Schizosaccharomyces pombe: one gene and its partner. The gene in region 1 interacts genetically with each later gene. Each region holds a gene or a part of one and is shown on either strand. Other genes may lie near its edges.

Region 1 (11,864 bases):
TATTGCCTTTGCTATTTTCCAGTGTTTTCGTATCAGAAGACATTTTTCGCGTAACTTTTAAAAATTATGAAGTTCAAGACTTCAAGTAATAGGTACGACAATTAGATATTACGCTAGGTCTACCAAAGTGACCCAACAGACTGAATAGTGAAAAAGAAAAAACGACTCGATAATTCACTTTTTTAGATTAGAAATATTAATAAAAATATATTCTGGCTTTTTCTCCTAATAGATAATGAGTTAAAACCACTCTGTTTTGTTCTTAATAAGTAGAGGTGAGCCTTTGCAGATGTATGAATCTATTAGCATTGGCAAGTAATGGGAGTAAGATGAAGCGTATATAGGCGAGCGTTTGATGGCATAACAAGAGCAACAAATTGAACTTATTTGTTTTCCTTTGTTAATAACTCTATTTTAACGATGTATAGGATTCGTTCTGACAGCTTCATTTTTATTCCAGCAAAGCGAAGCAAAACGGATCATTCGCTTCGTGCCAAAACAATGTTGTTTTATGGATTAAAAGATGATCTTCTTAAAGCAGCCATGGCTAAGCATTCATAATACGTGATAGATCATGTTATAGACTTCATCTTTGTAGATCATATAAATGCTTAAGTGTTGAGTCAATGACACATAGACTGTACTTGTCTATTTAATTTGTCTAACGTATTACATTCATAAAAAGCGCGTAAACGTGTTGAGTCTTATAGAAGTTGTTATGACTAGCAATTCAAGAACAAGTCTGATTCATAACATTATTTAACATTTCTTTATTCCATTTCATTTTATTCTTTCTCTATGTTAAAATTCTTGACTTTGCAATATAAACAGACAAATATGCACCAAGTAGCTTGTACAAATAGCTCCTAAACGATCTTTGAATGCATGAAGATAATATTCTATATACCAAGGATTTGAATACTTCACGATCTTACTGTATGAATATATAAACAATAAATAGAAAATTTCTAGTGAATCGACAGTACTCTGACTGATTATTAATTTTTTCTTTAAAATGTTTAAATATTCTACTTTAAACGTCTACGGCCATACCTAGGCGAAAACACCAGTTCCCGTCCGATCACTGCAGTTAAGCGTCTGAGGGCCTCGTTAGTACTATGGTTGGAGACAACATGGGAATCCGGGGTGCTGTAGGCTTCCTTTTATTCTTTTTGCTTTTTGTTTGAGCTCATTTGGGAATAATAATCATTTACCTTGATTCGTACTTATTCATTTCAATACCTTTGCACATAATATTATTGTGTACTATGAATGATATTTTGGCAACCAGGAAATCTTCTTACAAGTCGTAATACGACTTAAAGGGAAGATGTATGGTTTATTTTATTGTCATACAGTAACCTTTATTATTGGATTGGAGTTGTAGTTTCGATTTCATCACAATGAATAACGATACTCTAGAGTGTTTTCCAAGATGTAAACGAGAGAAGGAAAGTGTTTTTTGGATGATTATTAAACTTACTATAATTTTTGATTGTTCTCAATATAAAATTTATCTTAGTACATATTTATTTTGTTCTCATGTCAGTTTTGGAGAACATACATTACAATTTCTTGACAAGACAACATTTGGAAAATTGCTCTGTTCATTAAAACATTGAAAACCGTATATGTTTTTTAAATCATTCCTCTTCAATGCATTTGTTGAAGTAATTTTACTGAATCAAAGATATAAATACATGTTTGAAAACAAATACCCGAAACTGCTAAAAAAAAGACTGGGATTGAAAGTTAGACTAGATTCGTTGATCATCTACTTGAAAAATGTGTTTTGTTAGAAATATATAGGAACAGGAAAATCTTAGACTGTATTTCAGGAAAATTTAAACTTAGTAGGTATTAAAATGCTTATAATTCATCGTATTATATTAGGTAACTAGGATGTCAATACGAAAAATAACAATAAAATCAGAGATTCATTATTGACAGGAAATACTTTTTTACGTTTCTTAATCAACGTTTATACTTTTCTCTTTTTTGTTTTGAAAAGCGACTAGTCACAATTGTCAAAATTACATTGTTCACTTTTACTGGCAGCAACTTAAGTAAAGAAGAGATAGAACTCATAGATATAAACATTGTTAAATGAGACCTAGCTGTGTATCTTTTACTACTCTGCGCATATAAACCCAACATTCCCAAGCAATAAGACCATGCACGGCCAAAATCCTTCTATCAACTGTTCATGGCTTAAAACGAATTTCCTTTAACTAAAAAGTGAGATAAATAATTAAAGTATTAAACCTTGCTCCTTTTATTAAAAAAACCTCATATATAAGAAACTCCATACACCTACTGTTTTCCTCCCTATTGTTTTGTTCTTCCACCAAATAAGGGCAACTGCCTTGGCAACTGCACAGACCGAGTAAATCTTCACAATTTCGTTGATATTCGGTTAAAATTTGTAAATATACTAGTGTATTGGATTGTATCTAAGGTTTTCTCGAAACATTTGTTCGTGTTCAAATTCCGCGCTGTTCTAATAGATCACAAGATCTCGAGCTGGTGCGTTTTCGTTTGGATGGAACCCACAGACACGGCTTTGCTTCTAATAGCTTAAGTTTTTTTTTTTTGAAAATAGTTTTCATTTGATAAGAAAAGAATAAGACTTCAAGTCCGGTAAGTCTATGAGTGGTGCCTAAGATCCTTCGTCGTTAAACATTTGAAGTTATTGCCTTCTAAAACGTTTCATCTACTTTTTACAGCAAATTTTGAAACTGTTTTTTGCATCTTAACCAAAAGTATTTTATTTTGGCGATAAATTCAAAGAGTATCTGTTATTTGCTAAATTTGTTGTGTCCATCAAGGCTATCAAATTACTGCTTCATTTTGTAAAAACAATTTTTCTTCTCGTATTTTAAGATTTTCCACTATGGAATCTCAGTCAAAAAAGTCGTCCGCCTTAAAAACTCTCTCCAGCTTATGGAATGGATCCTCTAGCGCCACTTCGGATCCAGTTACTGTTTTGGATCGAAGCCGGACCCATCACCATCGTGGTCGAAGCACTTCTTCCAAAGCTCAACCGTTCAGATTGGACGACTCTGTTTACTCAGATCAACCCCCAAAAGATCATATCTCTTTGGCCCGGTCCATAACTAGACCCGAATCTGCTAGTGAGTCTAAAATCTATGCACCTTCTGCGAGATCTTCTCTTTCCTTGGAAGCTGTTGTAGGCAAAAAAGTGTCTGCAAAGTTTGCCAAATATTTGTCACAGACAGATGACGATTGGGGAGTTTCGAATATTAAAGCCTCAAAATCTCTTCCTCGTATGGCTCGAAGTACTACTCCAAATTCTTCAAGCCGCTCCTTATTTCCTCAAAATGGCGTGGATACTACCACTTCTAGACAAAAGCTTCATTCGTCTGGTCGTTTTCCTTTACCCGCTAAACTAGCCCATCGTTCTGTAGAAGTTGAGGTTGCTGAAAGCAATGCGCTTGTCTCTCGGATCAAGAAGTTTTCGCGAATTCTTGATGCTCCAATTGTGGATTTAAATGCGCTTCGTACATTGGCTTGGAATGGAATTCCCTCCGAACATAGACCTATTGTCTGGAAATACTTGTTAGGATATTTACCTTGTAATGCTTCTCGTCGTGAAGTCACTTTAAAGCGAAAGAGAGACGAATATAACGCAGCAAAAGATTCCTGCTTTAATACAAATACAGAGCCACCACCTTTGGATCAAACTATTTGGCGACAAATTGTCCTTGACGTTCCGAGGACGAACCCCTCTATTCTTCTTTACCAAAACCCATTGACGCAGCGTATGCTTGAGCGTATTTTATATGTTTGGGCCTCACGGCACCCAGCCAGCGGATATGTACAAGGCATCAGCGATTTAGTTACTCCTTTTATTCAGGTGTTTTTGTCCGAATATATCGGCGATAAGGACCCAATGACATATGACATTGCTCTTCTTGATGAAACTAATCGTAATGATATTGAGGCTGATGCTTACTGGTGTCTTTCTAAATTGTTAGATGGTATCCAAGATAACTATATACATGCACAGCCTGGAATCCGTCGACAGGTGAATAATCTGCGAGAGCTTACTTTACGTATAGATGAGCCATTAGTAAAACATCTTCAAATGGAGGGTGTTGATTTCCTTCAGTTTAGTTTTCGCTGGATGAACTGTCTTTTAATGCGCGAGCTTAGTATTTCGAATATCATTCGGATGTGGGATACATACATGGCGGAAGGTGTCCAAGGATTTTCTGAGTTTCACCTCTACGTATGTGCTGCATTTTTAGTGAAATGGTCGAGTGAATTACAAAAGATGGAATTTCAGGATATATTAATTTTTCTGCAGTCTATTCCGACAAAAGATTGGAGCACAAAGGATATCGAAATTTTACTATCTGAAGCTTTCCTATGGAAATCATTGTACAGTGGAGCTGGTGCACATTTGAAAAGGTAAGGCATAGTAGCCATTTCGTTTTCCCTTTTCAGAGCATTCGTCTTCTTCCTTAATCCCTTGCTTATTTTGGCATAGCAGCCTTTTTCAAATGCCATCCTTCCTATGCATTTTTATAATTAGGTTGACAAATCTCCTTCGTTAATTCATTGTGTTGCTTTTCTATGTTTATGAGCTTATGAGTCTAAGTCTTACTTCTTCTAATAAATTTTCCTTTCATTCACCTAAATAACTTTTCAAGTTTGCTCCTTAACTCAGCTGGATTGAGTTTGCGACTTTTAGAATTTATCATGCAGGATAAAGTATTTCTCTTGAAGAAAGTCTGAACTACCTTAATCATTTTTGGGAAGTTATTAACCCTTGAATTAAATTGTATATTCACTATTACTTATATGTAATTTGTCTTTACTCTTACGTTCGACCGTTCTCTAACCCTTTTCCAGTTTGACTTACGTTACTACTTTACTATTCAACGATTGTTTAGTCCATGGCGTGATACTTTACATGAATCGTTATTAATATCATTTTTTTTTCTCTTCTATGCTAGTCATGTTTTCTTTGGTTTTATCCAAGATTGTACATTACGATTTCAAAGTACGACTTTTGTATTGGTAAGAGATGATGAAAATCGACAAGACTGTACTACATGGTCTGTGTCTTCTTCCTTGATTCGACCAAAATGTATGGATGAATTAGAGTAGATAATGAAAACGCTGTGACAATTTTTGAATATTTATACAACTTAATACAGTTTTTGAACTGAAATAAAGAAGCACGTTCCATTGCGTTATAGAATCATTGTATTACTTTTCATGAAGAAGAAATCATTTATTTATAACTATAGGATCAATTTCTTATCTTTTAAATTTCAATACTCATAGCTTTTTCATGCTGATTTTGCAACTGCTTACCACAACAGCATTTGCAGTGACTGTTTTTCAAACTATATTTACTATATAAGGGAGACTTTGCCTATTACCTCTACGTCTGGCTTAGGAGCGCAAATTAAGCGATAAGAAAGAAATGGATCTGTATCTTTTAGCAAGCGGCAGAAAGTTTGGGGTTGTAAAGTCTGACTGTATATCCAATAACGGAGTAAATGTGAAGGATGTTGGAAATGCATTGAATGAAGGTGTTGTTGGTGCTATTGACGCTACCCGTAAAATGGTGGTTTCATTAGGAACAGTAATGCCTGAAATTCAAAAATGCGGTGTTACTTTTGAAGAGAGCTCCGAGGATGTAAGTGATTTTTATTTAGTAAGATGGGATAGCATTGATGATCCCTTAAATCCCAAAAATTGGCCAATGTGGAAGAAATGGATTGTTGTAGTTCAAATATCCTTAATAGCATTTGTGGTAACTTTTGGATCGAGCGTATACTCTTCAGGTATCGGTAATGTTTCAATGGACTTTGGGGTATCGATTTCTGTTTCTTCTTTAGGCTCTTGTGTCTTCTTGGTTGGCTTCGGGTTTGGATCGTTACCATTTGCTCCTCTCAGTGGTATCTATGGAAGATTTGTTGTTTATTTTTGTACGTTGTTGATGTTTACCCTATTTCAAATTGGTGGAGGTTGCGCACAAAATATATGGACATTGGTTATTTTACGTTTTTTTCAAGGATTTTTCGGTAGTACGCCTTTATCAAATTGCGGTGGTACTCTAAGTGATTTATTTACTCCCATACAAAGAACGTATGTACTTCCTGGCTTTTGCACCTTCCCTTTTCTTGGCCCCATTTTTGGACCCATCATTGGTGATTTTATTTGTCAGAGCTACTTGGGTTGGTGTTGGGTGTTTTGGATAAATATGATCATGGGAGCCGTGGTAATTGTCATTATTTTTTTCTTCATGCCGGAAACTCATGGGGATACCATTTTAGACTATAAAGCTCGGTATCTGCGTAATAAGACCAGAAATATGAAATGGCATACCATTCACGAAAGACAGCGGAATCCAAGGAGTGCAATATATCAAGCTTGTACTGATTCTGTCTCTTTATTGATTACCGAACCTATTGTAGTCTGCTTTACACTTTATCTGACTGTCGTGTACATCATTGGTTATATTGACTTTGAAGGCTACCCTATAGTATTTGCCAAGTACTCTTTCGATCAGGGAGAAATTGGTTTATCGTTTATTGGAATTGGAATAGGTATTGTTTTAGCAGGTGCCTGCACGCCCATCATCTACGTACACTACAATCGAGTTTATACAAGAAGGAATGGGGTTATGTCTCCAGAAGACCGTCTATACCCTCTTTTCTTTGGATCCATAATGCTACCGATTTCCATGTTTTGGTTTGCATGGACCTGTTACCCATACCATCCTTACGTGCATTGGATAGTTCCATTGATATCAAGTATCTTCTTTGGCTGGTCGCTTTTGTTTGTATTTTTTGTTTCCTATAATTACATAATTGATTCCTATCAAAAACTGGCTGCAAGTGCTTTAGCTGCTGCTACGCTTGTCCGTTATGCAGCTAGTGGAGGAATGAGTCTAGTAGGCAGGCCCATGTATGTGAATTTAGGAGACCATTGGGCAACTAGTTTACTTGGTTTTATTTCAGTAGGAATGATTCCTATACCGTTTTTATTTTTTATATATGGAAAAAAAATTCGTGGTTTGAGTAAACACGCATACAAGTTGTGAGTACTACTATTCACAACCATTAGTACAATAGATTTCGCAGCTTTAGGATAATTGTGCCTTGGTTTGCTTGATACATTTTAAGCAATTGAATTAAGTAATTAAATAAACGATACCCAAATCGGTCAGAAGTCAATATGAACAAGCCATAACAGGGTGTTATTCTAGTTTTTATAGTAAATGAGAGTTATACTGATAGATAGATCGAAATCAAAAATCAACCAATCCATCTTGTTTATATGTTATTCTTTACAGTTAACATCTTTTATTAACACAATAGACACAGGCGTATAAAGATATGAAAATGGATGTGAGTAAAAAGGTAATATAAGGATGAAAGAATGAAATGGGCGTAGAATTGATATAATAATTTTCGTGCGGGATGGATTTGTGCAACATAAACGACAAAAAGGTCGAATTATTCTTGATTACCAGCTATTTAGAAATGAAAAGTGTAAGCAAAAGAAATAAAACTGTTTGTAAAGTATTTTCTTCTCTTCACTGTCATAAGCTAGCCAGAAAGCTAAAATTTTAATAACTTATGAGGAACCGAAAATAAATCGTAAAGCCATAAAAACACAAAATAGTGATATATACTAAAGATAGATGTTAGATCTAGCCTTTTTTAAAAAGGATAATTAGCTAGTGAAATAGCTAAAACTCACCGGACTAGCTCGCTCACCAATTCGAGCGCATTTCCAGAATACCATTGTCACGCTGTCAACTTATTAGCAATTCCATATCCCTCAAAACTAAAATATTATATATCTAATAATCATTTAGGCTTACCCTTCTTTTCTTTTTTCTAATAAAGCAGGGAATTGACGGTGTAAATAAGTACATGTGCAGATCGTTAATAGTATAACGAAAAGCAAACTTTCAAAGTTAAAAATGGCAGTCTAACGGTTAATGTTTGTCTTAAAACAAAAATAGTTACCATTTTATTATACTCTGATTAAAATTTTCAGCTTTTAAAAAGCATGTAATTTCTGTGTTCATATATGAAACATACAATGAACTTGAAGTATGCTCACTTGTTCACATTACGACACACAAGACGTTGTAAATATTTATTACGAATTACAACGCATATTATTCGTGTTCTGATACACCGATAAATACCGATATATAATATTAAAAATATATTGAATGTTGGTGGACAAATGCTAATATATGTATGACTTTTCAGGAGGGCTGTATAAAGTATTTGAGGAAATTAAACTATTTATAAATGGGAAAGGGGAAAACATGTTACATAAATATTGAGTAACGTTTAATAAGTCTACATAATACATTGACGATGCAGTCAAGTCAAATAATAATGATAAAATACTTTTAACCTTAGTTTTAAATAGACATGGTTCTTAAATTTCAAAATAACCAGCTGTTCTAAATTTCACTCTTCGATATTAATGGTATAAAACATTGGAACGTTGAGTTTTTGTTAAGTGATTACGAAGGAAGTAAAGGATGTGGAGTTGATATGCTAGAATTGGTATACAGTTTTGAAATCCATTTATCATAAGAAAAAGTATTTTGAATTTGTAACACTATGACTATCCAACCTTCCGGAAGAAACAAAAAGCAATGACGAATGTTTACAAAAATTAATGATACGGCTGCAGTTGAGCAAATGTAAGAAAAAACAGTTGTAACGACAAAAATAGAAAATATGGCATTATGAATGCTTAAAGATTATGTATAAATTGAGAGTAGAACAGTTTAATAGTTGAGGAGCAAGCGGTATCAAAAAAAGAAAAACAAAAATTCAAGCCAGCATAAAAACTTAAAATTGGGTGCTACAAGTTGTTTGCAGAACCTTGGTATAGAAGTTGTTAGAAACGGAAAAATATTGTAGGAGTTGTTTAGTCAATCAGTTTTTACATATCCAAAAAACCATAGCCGACGGAACCATCGTCTCCCAAGCAACTAAGAATTGTTAAATTATAACACATTTTTCATTTGTTTTGATTCTTGGTGGAATCTAGTTTACTCAAATATTGTTGAGATAAACGAATAGCTTCTTTTCTTTTAAGACGAGCTTCTGGGTCGTCTTCAACATTAACAGCATCTAATTTTATCATCCTAGCCAACAATGTTTCACTAAGGCGTGTATGCAAATCTTGAACATCTTGTGCCGAAGCGGGAGACGATTGGCAGAAGGCTTCAATTTTAGGGACGAGATCCTGTTGAAGCTCATCTATATATGCTTCAATTTGTTGCATTGCCGGGCTCAGTTTGGGTAATTCGAGCTCTAATTCACTTCCATTTTGCACATTTTGGTCGGAAAGTGAACCATCCTTGAGGGTCACCCCGTTTAACTTGAGAGACGCTTTGTCGGGCATTACTGAAAATGCGTTGCACACGCGACGAAGAAAACTAGTGTAAGAAACCATATTCAGCCTTGGTTGTCGCAACACAAAATTCAACTTTTCGCCATCGTAATGAACAACGACAATATCTTCGGTTTCAGTAGCTCTCTTTTTCAATAATGCGCTAATCAAAACAGTAACTGACAATACAGCTAGAGAGATCCAATATTTTTTATCCATAGAACACAACTGGGTAAAAAAAGACATGTTGATTTCTCGATGCTTTTTCCTAAAGTCAAATGAATGAAGAAGTGATAAACCGGTCAATAAGCAAGACTAAATAAGTCTGGGTCTTTATCAGATTTCCTTGGTAAATGAAGGAACTGGTATATAAAAATTTAATTGCTAGATAAGAGAGAGGATGTTTTAAATTGGTGAGTTGCTCTCGAACCAATTTCGCATTTGGTGGTTACTATGTAGGTTGTGGAGATGATAGTGTTATGAATTCTTTGAAATGTGAGTTTCTCCTATACAAACATGATAAGTCCGAAAAATGATAATTAAAAAAAAAAAAAGCTGTTTGTTGCCAAAATCTTATTCTTTTTGTTTTTGTTAAAACTTCTGCTGCAGTAGACTGACATGTTGACCTCAAATATCTAGTTATCATTTACGTTCATGCATCAAATTAAACTAATTCAGTTTCGTAAAGATCTTGTTTTTTCTCTTTTTAAGTTTAATTTTTGTTTCTTTGACAAGGAAGGTACCGAAAAAAGCAATCCATGGGATGTGTTTGATAATTGAACAAAGTGTGAATCTGACTTTAACCAGAAGTAGTAATGCTCTAATTTTTTTTAAGAGAATAAGTAATACTCTAAGGATCTTTGATTGCTTTCGGCGTAAATAATTGTTTATTTGTATGTATAACTTTATTCTGAAAAGCAAAGAAGAAGTTTCATATAAATTCATATCAGCAAAAGCGCATTCTCGGTTGATTTTATCGTTTAATGGTTGAATTCTTGGGTATTTTATACCTCAACTATTTTTTCAAAATACTCTTCAATAATTTAGTGGGTTCTCCCATTTGATCGATTCAATTGTTGGGGACTCAAATTGCATAAAAATTGAAGAACAGGATATCATGCTGTAAACAATTCTCCATTTCAACTTTCATTATTGTTACTCGTCTGCAATACCTGGATATATCAACACTTACTCCATCACTGATGTGCTTACCTATCTAAGAGTGCATGTTCTTGGGGACGTCAAAAGTTATGTTTCCATCTTACATGGATAAAGGAATCAGCTCTATTTGCTCTCAAGGGTAATTTCTATTAAATATCCATCTATTTCCTACACCTGCCTGAGAACTTGCTCGAATTATTTTTAAAAGAATATTTTAGCTATAAAAATTTTCTTGTGACCTTTTAATATTATGTTTTTCACCAATTGTTCCATGAACATTACTAAAAAGAGGGAAATATTCTTTTACAAAATATTTAACACGATACCAGCTCAACTGAGGAAATTAGCGTCGCGATCCGCGTACTACTAATTGTTAGCCAAACACCGGTTTCCCAATTCCCAGTTTTGGATATTCTTTTTACTCTCTTTTTTGGCTCTAATTGATCTTTTTCTTTTATTTGATTGCATGTCGGCTTTATCTGAAAGCCCTGCTATTCCTTCTTTTTGGAGACCTGAGACATCCGAGGTATGCTAATTTTTTAAGAAGATCAGAGGTAGTTTCTCTTATTCTTTATGTAAGACATGAAAGTTGCACCTGTACGCAAATTGCAGCTGTTCAATTTGTTGAATGGAGCCTTTCTTTCCGAGTACTACCCTATCTTGCCTGTTTGAAATAATGATTTGCTAACAAGTGTTGCTTGGGCTGCCCCCTTTTCACTAGTTAAGGGTTCAGCTTGCTGGCATTAATGATTAGATATCAAAAAAACCTCGACCAAACACTACCGTCGGATTTCAATTCGATAATAGAAATGTAGGTACAAGTGCTCCTTCTACTCCTGCTATCCGGAGAAATAATACCGATAGTTTTGAACGAGGTCTTTCTTTACCATTGCCAAGCAGCAAGCAAGATACTGGTTCAAGTGTACTAGATCCAGACGGAGATGCATACGTAAATCGATATGCTCGTCCTGTTACAGCAGGTAGTATTTATATTCCAAGTAATTACCACAAGTCTTTTTCTCCCAATACGTTTTCTGGGTTTAATGTAAAGAGAAGCGCGTCTAAATCTCCAAAAAGAAGTGCCAATGGTTCAACGTCAGAGGATATTAGCATTGAAGGATCTCCCTCTGAAACAGCCAAGGGAGCTAGATCATCTTTTAATAGTAATTTTCGAACCTTTGACATTGGAAGTGAGCGCCGAAGGAGAATATTGGAAGCATCACAGGACTCATCTCGTCCGGGAAGATACTCTTATAGGACAAAAAGCGCATCTCCAGCATTAATTGATA
Region 2 (8,393 bases), on another chromosome or scaffold:
GGTGAGGAAAAAACATCTAATTTGGATTGCATATATTGACTGGTATTTTGATTGCTTCCAAAAAAAAAAATAATTGTCAACAAAAAAAAATTGCAAACTAATTTTATGCATTAAGCTTTGGTAAACAGAAAAAGCTTATAAAGCATCCAGCGGAAGCAAAAAAATGACAAATCAAAGGATTAAATAGATATGGAAAAAGAAAGAATCCTAATAATATTCAAATGCATTAGGGAATAGTCGTTATTTTTGACAAAATATTATGAAGCCTCACTTATAGTCTTCTTTTCAAGAGAAACAAGCCGAATATTGAGACATTGCTATGCGTGATAATTTTCATTTTTCACTAAATCCCCAATAAAAAATCTCCGAAAAATTCTTTTCTCTAAGGTTAGCCGCACTTCCATGCAGAGAAGAATTCCATACGCGAACGCTCCCATCGTCTGAAATACTTGCCAATTGACCTTCACTAGACCAATCAACTGCAGTAACATCCTTAGTATGACCACCTGTGAGCATAGCAGACGATGAACAGTTTCTTGTTGTGTCAAAAACAACAACACCACTAGTCTTGTCTTGAACGCCTCCACCGCAGGCTAAAGTTGCTCCGTCAGGACTGCACGCCAACTTTACGTAGAATGAAGAAATTCTGAGTCTAGGGTCTTTGTAAGTCTTGCAAAATCCGGAGTTTAAGTGACGAGATGAATATTCATAAATGATACTATCTCTGGAAGCAGCATAAATACGCTCACCGTCAGGAGAAGTACAAACATTAGTAACACCAAAATCGCGTTTTGAAGTAGTTAATTCGGGAGTAGTAGCAGCAGGTAAAGGTCGGACGGTATGTACAGTTCGTAAATCCCATAACTTTAAGGCCGAGTTTGCAGAGCAGGACGATATAACTTGCGAAGTAGATTGAGGGAGCCACGTAGCTGAGGTAATTGAGCAATCCCTTCCCGAATTTTCATGTGCTTTTCTTATCCTTAACACTGGTTTCTGAAAATGCTCACCGTCAATTGTTATCCCGTGTGTTCGCATATCCCAAAAGATAATGGAACCATCCCGAGAACAACTTACCAAATTATAAGGAGAATCATTGCAAAAATTAACCTGCTTTACTGAATGAGAGTGGTATCCATCGACACCTCGTCGTCCCAATCGAGTGATGCATTGTTGCGTTGACAAATCAAATACCTTTGATGTTTGATCGCCAGATGAAGTAGCTAATAATGAATCATCTTTAGAGAAATTAACACTAAATATAGCATTGTTGTGAGCAAGCCAGCCATGGATTCTTCGAGCAGACGGCTGATTTTCCTCATTCTGTCTATCGTAAAATCGAGAATCAAACAGCTCAAGAGCTCCAGTCTCAGTACATACGGCCAATAAAGACTCGTTATTAGCAAATCCAAGACAGAACGGGAGTTGGTTCAGCATCATTAAGCATTCCGAAGGTCGTGAGTAATATGTTTCGAGATTGAGTCTACCTCCCACATGACGAGAAGTTTTTGTGCTAAAAGGGTGCGACCGGGAACCTCCCAGTTGTCTGATTAAAAGTTCTTTACAAAGTTGAGCAGGTTTTTTTTGAATATGAACTGGCTTGTGTAACAGGGGTTTCTTTTCAAACACAATGCGTTTTCGAGGTGTTTCAATTTTTCCTCGGCTTTCTAGGAAGTCGTAAAGCTTATGTTTTTTGGAAGGTGCTGCGGGAGAAGAATCAGGAGTCGGAGGTAATGAGTTATTTGCACGTGAGGTAATATCTCGAAGCCCACCAACATCACTCAAAGCTTTTCCAATGTCCATATTCATGGTATAATCATGAATCTTAATTTAATCCGCTTTTGAGGTCGTGTGTTCCAGTTTAATTTAAGTAGTGGATGGTAGCGTGAGTATATTAGATTTTCGTGACGCGTGAACGCGACGCGTCCGTGATCCATCACATGCACCAAACGTTACCCAGAATATGTTAAAGTAACAAAACGCGTATTTCAAAGTCATGTTTAAGCATATTTGCAATTACAGATGGGTACAGCCTAAAATTCTTGAGGAATAAATAAAAAGGATAAAAGTTTTCTAATTACTTGTTAATTTTTCATAAAGGATGACTTTCGTATTTCTGCCTATGATATAATGAGCGCTCGAAAAGTTGTCAAATATCTCATTTATTAATAATAATCGAAAATATTACGCGTCAAAAGAATCTTTCACTCACAATTCTATACTTGTATAGTCAAATTACAATCTCAACTCGCGGAGTGAATATAAGTTAGCTGTTCACCTTGCAGGACCCAAAAGAAAATAGTATATATTTGTTTCAATCAAGGTAAAGAAAATTTTAATGTAATAACTTCGTTAAGTATAAATTTCCTTTCGTATCCTTGGATTTTCAAACACATTTATCCTGTCTAACACTATTGAACAAGACAAGTTCGTGCTTTTATCAACTACAGGTTGTGAACAACCTCCATTGTACAACACCAATAGTGCATTCATTACACTCTTTCCAATATTTCTAATTACACCTCTTAATTTATTTATAAATTATTTCTTTTTTTCTTCAAATGAGTGAGTCTGTTACTACTGGATCTGATGATGATGGAGGAGACAGAGAATCTTCCCCTGTAATGCTTTCTCAAAGTTTTGATCCCATGAGCAGTAGTTCAAATTCATCTTCTGAAGAAAATAGCGATGATGATTACGAGAAAACGATAAGCTCAAAAAAACGGCATCCACGGCCAAATTCTAAAGGAGTAAATGTAAAACGCTCTAGGAGGAACGCTATAGTTGAAGAGGATCCTCAAGAAGAAATTTTTAACAACTTATTTGGTAATGATAAAGTCCTTCTTTTTTTCAGCTACTAACACTGAAAAGCTTTTCTGCTTGACCAAAAAGTTGATACCATGGACATCGCGGTTTCGTGGTTTGCTGACTATGCAAAAGATAATCAATCTGCCCTTGCAAATCTTATTAACTTTATTTTAAAGGTAGAGTCATTCTTTTCTTTCTTTACTAAATATTTTAGTGCTGTGGTTGCAATCGTGCCATTAATGTGTTTGATGTTCAGGATCAAGATTCTGCTTCAGCTACTCTATCTCAAATTCAACTTTCTGTAGAGCGTGTAAGTGCTTTTGCGAAAATACTTTATTTGTATATTAACAACTTTAAGACTTCTACTCGTGATTATCCTTTAAATTCAAAAAATCTTAAGTTTAGGAATTTCAGAAAGAGATTGACCGGTCTTTTAAGCAACTTTGTGTCACAGTTGTCAATAAGAAATTACTTGTACAATAGCACTGTTTTTGAAGATATTATGTCTTGGGTCGTTGCCATGTCTTCTTCTACGATGAGACCTATTCGGCACACCGCCACTGTTTTCTGTTTGAATATTATGACTTTTTTATGTGAAAAATCTAAAGAACTATTGAACGAGCATGCAATTGCTACCAAACAGCTCGAGAAAGAAGAAAAGCGCTCTCGTGTAAATAGAAATCGCATCAACGAACTTAATAACAGTCTTGGTGAAATAGTCAAGCAACAAGATACATTGACTACATACTTAAATGACTACTTTGATAGGTAAAGATCCCTCAAACGCTTTAATTTATTTATACTAACCTTTATATTAGTGTCTTCGTCCATCGATATCGAGACGTGGAGCCTAAAATAAGGGTAGATTGCTTACAAGAGCTTGGGGTCTGGATTAATACTGTTCCAAGCATATTTTTTTCAGGAAGTTATTTAAGATACCTAGGATGGATGCTTTCAGACATAAACACTACCGTCAGATTAACTGTAGTTAAAGTTTTGCGCAAATTTTTTGAGACAGATTCATTTATTGGTGGATTAAGACATTTTTCTTCTAGATTTAAAGAAAGAATACTCGAGATGAGTTGTGTGGACGCCGATATTGGAGTTCGTGTAGCCAGCATTCGTTTGTGTAACGCTATGAGGACTTGCGGATTTTTAGAAAATTCTGAAATTTTAAAAGTGCTGAAGCTAATTTTAGATATCAATCCAAGGGTGCAACGTGAAGCCGTACTGTTTTTATGCAAAGTGGTTGACGAAAGTGTGAATGAAAAAATTGATTTATGGGGTGAAGAAGACTATATTCTAAAGGCCTTTTCTCAGACTTCACTTACTACATTTTCAGTTCATTGGATAAAATTTTCCCAAATGTGTAAACTTTTGGAGGAGGTTAGATTGTCTTACCAATCGAGCTTTGATTATGATACATTATTACGAATCTTCCAAAAAAATGGTAATTTCATTACTCCTATAACACAAGCTTTACTTAATGCATGTGAAATTGATTCAATCTATCAGTCATGGGAGGATATTAGCAACTTCGTACTTTTTGATAATTATACCTCGACTCTAAAAGATCCGATAGACAGTATACTTTCTTTCTGCAAGCTAAATGATTTTCAGGAATCTATTCTTTTACAGCTTCTCTCTGCTTCAATCCAAACTGTCTGTAATAACAATTTTATCACACCTAAAACGGTGCATAATAAGCAAGCGGCGGAAACGACCAACGATCAAAATAAAGATAAGGACTTACTTTATTTGAATCTTCTTCCTTACATTAATTCAATAACTGAGAGAAATTCTGCTTCACCAACACTTCTTCATGATTCTCTTCGTTTGTTATTCTCAATGGATTTGACAGAAATGACAGACCCTCAACTTTCCAGACATTTTGAACTTCTAATTAATAATTTAAAAAAATTTTTCCTAACCAATAATGATCTTCAAATTATTCAAGGTTGCACGATATTATTTTTACGGTTGGACTCTATTCCTGCTTTGAAAGAAGATTTGAAGCTTCTGGTTACTGACATTTGCGACCAGACGGTAACCGAATTTTTAAAGAATTTTGGATCTTTTAATATTCAAGATGCTGTAATAACAAAAGATGAATTTGTTATTTTTGAAGCTTGTTTAACAAGAATCGAGGGATGTACCTCTCTCAAAGATTTTTCTGACTATCCTGAGTTTGACATAATATATGAAAGGCTTGTTTCGCTTCTTTCGCGGGTTCCTAATAGCTATGAAGATACATTGAAGTTTTCTGCAATTAATACTTTACAGAGTCTATTGTTTTGGTTCTTTCTAAGGAAGGATAACCCTGCTGATGAGGAAAAAAAGAAGGATGATGAGACTAAAGTTTTTAATTGTTTGATTAATATTATGAATAATGACAGCTCTAAAATTTTGCAACTTCAGGTATACAAAATCAACTTATTATTTGATTTAAGAAACTAACTTGACCAGGCAGCCCGAACTTTTCTGGAAACAGTGATAATGAAAGAAGGTGTTAAAGCATCACATTACAACGATGACAATCGTGTATCTGAGGAGCATAACTTTTTAAAACCTCAATTTTTAGATGCTCTTTTAAAAATACTTGAGGGATGGTTATACACATATGCCAAAGTTGGTCAATTCCCCTTCAAGCGTTTGACTCAAGCAAGTTCTCCACATACACAAATTTCTTTGGACAAAAATCCACTTAATAGAAGGCTATTGGAACATGTATGTTGCGATTTGACTAGTAAATTATTAATAGTTGTTTCATTGTCAAATACGATAACACCAGAATTTTCACAACAGTTTTGTGAACTAAGAGGGCACTATGGACCGAAATTATCTGCTATTGTGGATGAGTTTTTGAATTAATTAAATTTAGATTTAATGCCTGCTGTATATTTAAAGTAATTAATTATTTTTAAGTCAGCATTAGAAATAAATTCTTTTTTCATTATTAAAAAGATTATTTCCGCTTGGTTTTCATTAATTCTCTATATTTCTCTATAAGTTCCAAACGCTGCTTTCCTAGAGCTTGGCGTCGTGCCATAGATTCTGTTTGACCCATATTATTAACTTTGGGAACATTTTCCAAGTACTTTGTCTCTTTAATTTTTAATTCCGGAAGTTCAGGAGGAGCTTGCACAGTTTCTCCAAAGGAAGGTTTTGTTTGTAAATTAGCCCACGGATCAGGCGAATTTTTTCGTTTTTTTCTAGACTCAATTTGGATAAATTGTCTAATATGTTAGTTTATACGAAATGAAATTGGTGATATACACATACCCAGTAGTATCCGCCTCCCATGTTTTATCTTCAAAATTTTCCTCAATTTCATTCCAGTCTCTTTCACGCTTCTCTTTTCTTTTCGCTATTTTTTTCTTTTCTTTTTTATCAGTAAATTCGTCTATTTTGCTCGGCCCAGACTTAAAAGATACTGGAATAGCCTTATTTACGCGCTGACTAAATTCACTAAGGCGTTCACCGGGTAATCTTTGAATTTTCCCATAATCTTTTTTTTTCTTATTTTTAAGGTTGCCTTTCTTTATTTCCTTCTTTTTAGATTCATGGTACTCTTTTTGCTGTAGCAATCGCTTGAATTGCTTTGGGAAGTTGTCATCTACACTTTCATCCTCCTTGGGAGCATGATCGAGTCTATTAACCAAATGTTAGTAAAAACATCTTGCTATAGAAATTTTTTACCCAATCTTTTTCCGTTCAGCCTCAAGAACGGACCTTTTCTTAGTCTTAGTAGGCATATTGCGCTTGGATAGTAAACACAAACGAGAAGCAAGTAATAAAGGAAAATAGCGAGCCTAGCTCGTATCGCAATTTAGATAAATTTGGATTTGTTTTAATAGATACTCATGGGATAACAGTAAAGTTTATTAATGAATACAAATATCTTTTTTTATTTTAGTGGACAAGCTGTAACGCTTTAGAGAGAAAAAATTTCAGAATCAAGTTGGAAGCAAGCTTAGTGAAGATACTTTTCGAATCATACACGAAAAATATATTAAAAAATATATATATCAAACACCAAATATACACTATCTTTATTAAAATCGTAATGCTCTTATATGTAAACACTCAACTATCTTTCTTGTTGAGTATTTTGCGAGCTAATTAATAAAAATTAAAATGACTACAAACAGAGTACTTGAAATTATATAGAAAGCGAAACAGTACAAAATTACAATAACAAAATAAAAAATTCGATAACAATCTGCTTCCATAAGAATCAAATTTTATTCTCGATTAAAAGAAAACTGTTCCCAAAATCCAAAAGTTTAGATGAGCAATTTCTCTATTGCCAATTTAATAGCTTGAATTTGAGGAAGTAAATCACTAGCCTCATTGGTAGTAATGCTGGCTGAAATCACCGGTCTACTTACACCACAAGCACGTCCCAAAGCAGCCTTGCTAGGAACAAAAACATAAGGCACATTCTTGTCCTCACAAAGCAATGGCAGATGCAATAAAATCTCTATGGGCTCGGTATCAGCCGCCATTACTATAAATTCACTAATACCACGGTTCAAGGTTTTGGTAGCCTCATTTGCACCTTTGCGAAGCTGCTTGTAATGAGAGGCCTGTTGTACCAAGTCGAGAATTTGTTGGGTTAAGCCAGAATCGGCTAAAGGAAAGGCCTAACAATGTTAGTATGCAATAAAACGAATATAAATTTCGGAAAAGTTCATTTTCCGTAATAAAATTGCCGACGAAACTAGCATTTGAAACTAGCATGCTTTCAGCTATTTCGTAGCCAAAGAAGAAGTCTTATACCATTATTAACATACCTTTGGGTTAACTGACATTTTTTCGGGTTCCTTGCTGTAAAAAGTAGTATCTGACCTACAATGGTGGTTGCTCGCCCTTGCTAAGAAATTTTCTTTAGTAAACTTCACTTTAGCTGTAGTCCAAAAGTACAAGTAACAACATCAACGTTAGTCGATCCTTCGATCAATGTAACTTGGAAAATTAATCCAAATTTGCTTAAATTTGGAATTCTAAGAAATTTATGCACATTAATAATCTTAATTGTTTCTTGGCATTACACTATGAATATGGAGGACTCAAAACTATAAATCAGATTGGTGAGTTTATTTCTATTGAGCAGGCATTCTTCAATTGGACATTGTTTACCATATTTAACAGAATATAATAACATTAAAAAAAGTTGGAACTGCATATCTGATTGAGAGCTGTATTGTTATATAGTCTATGGACTTAGCAAAAAAGAAGTTGCTAATAATCTACTATTTAACTTTTAAATTTTAGCAAAGTACATATAATTTGTCCTAAAAAAAAAAAAAAAAAAAAAAAAAAAAAAAAAGCCCTGGTACATACTATTGAAAGTGTGTAAATTGTAATTTAGCTAAAATATTTTCCCTTAGTGGTTTGGAATATAGGTTTTTAATAATATTATAATTTATAAAAACTTTGCAAAACACTTTCTAAATAATATCCAAAAAAGTTTATACTTTCTGTTAAATTCATACTTCGATCTCCAGGCTACAACTTTATCTACTGTAAAAAAAGCTGAATAAATTAACAGCGAGTACATACACATTTGGATATGTGTTTAGGAA

The links.
Region 2: mutations in bag102 (region 1) and cdt2 together harm fitness less than expected from each alone (positive genetic interaction), as found in Schizosaccharomyces pombe (2 studies listed by BioGRID).

Annotation. Positions count from the first base shown.
Region 1 is NC_003423.3:782,220-794,083, forward strand, and holds bag102 (BAG family molecular chaperone regulator Bag102), read right to left. Parts: upstream 9,865-11,864; 5' UTR 9,661-9,864; coding exon 9,040-9,660; 3' UTR 8,445-9,039; downstream 1-8,444. Other genes in the region: CENP-A chaperone, NASP family, Sim3, read right to left, coding at 1-43; GTPase-activating protein Gyp1, read left to right, coding at 2,894-4,438; SPOM_SPBC530.02 (transporter), read left to right, coding at 5,459-7,084; protein ksh1, read right to left, coding at 7,621-7,677, 7,747-7,798, 7,871-7,980, 8,019-8,021; Tea1-anchoring protein Mod5, read left to right, coding at 11,042-11,101, 11,330-11,864. UniProt on the Schizosaccharomyces pombe protein: Inhibits the chaperone activity of HSP70/HSC70 by promoting substrate release.
Region 2 is NC_003424.3:2,033,845-2,042,237, forward strand, and holds the start of cdt2 (WD repeat protein Cdt2), read right to left. Parts: upstream 1,861-8,393; 5' UTR 1,807-1,860; coding exon 334-1,806; 3' UTR 112-333; coding exon of another isoform or gene 1-111. Other genes in the region: SPOM_SPAC17H9.18C (uncharacterized protein), read right to left, coding at 1-111; mitotic cohesin complex non-SMC subunit Psc3, read left to right, coding at 2,559-2,823, 2,869-2,981, 3,020-3,115, 3,164-3,573, 3,624-5,223, 5,272-5,676; SPOM_SPAC607.02C (uncharacterized protein), read right to left, coding at 5,771-6,041, 6,088-6,456, 6,505-6,560; U3 snoRNP-associated protein Snu13, read right to left, coding at 7,092-7,451, 7,602-7,619. UniProt on the Schizosaccharomyces pombe protein: Substrate-specific adapter of a DCX (DDB1-CUL4-X-box) E3 ubiquitin-protein ligase complex required for DNA replication during mitosis and meiosis.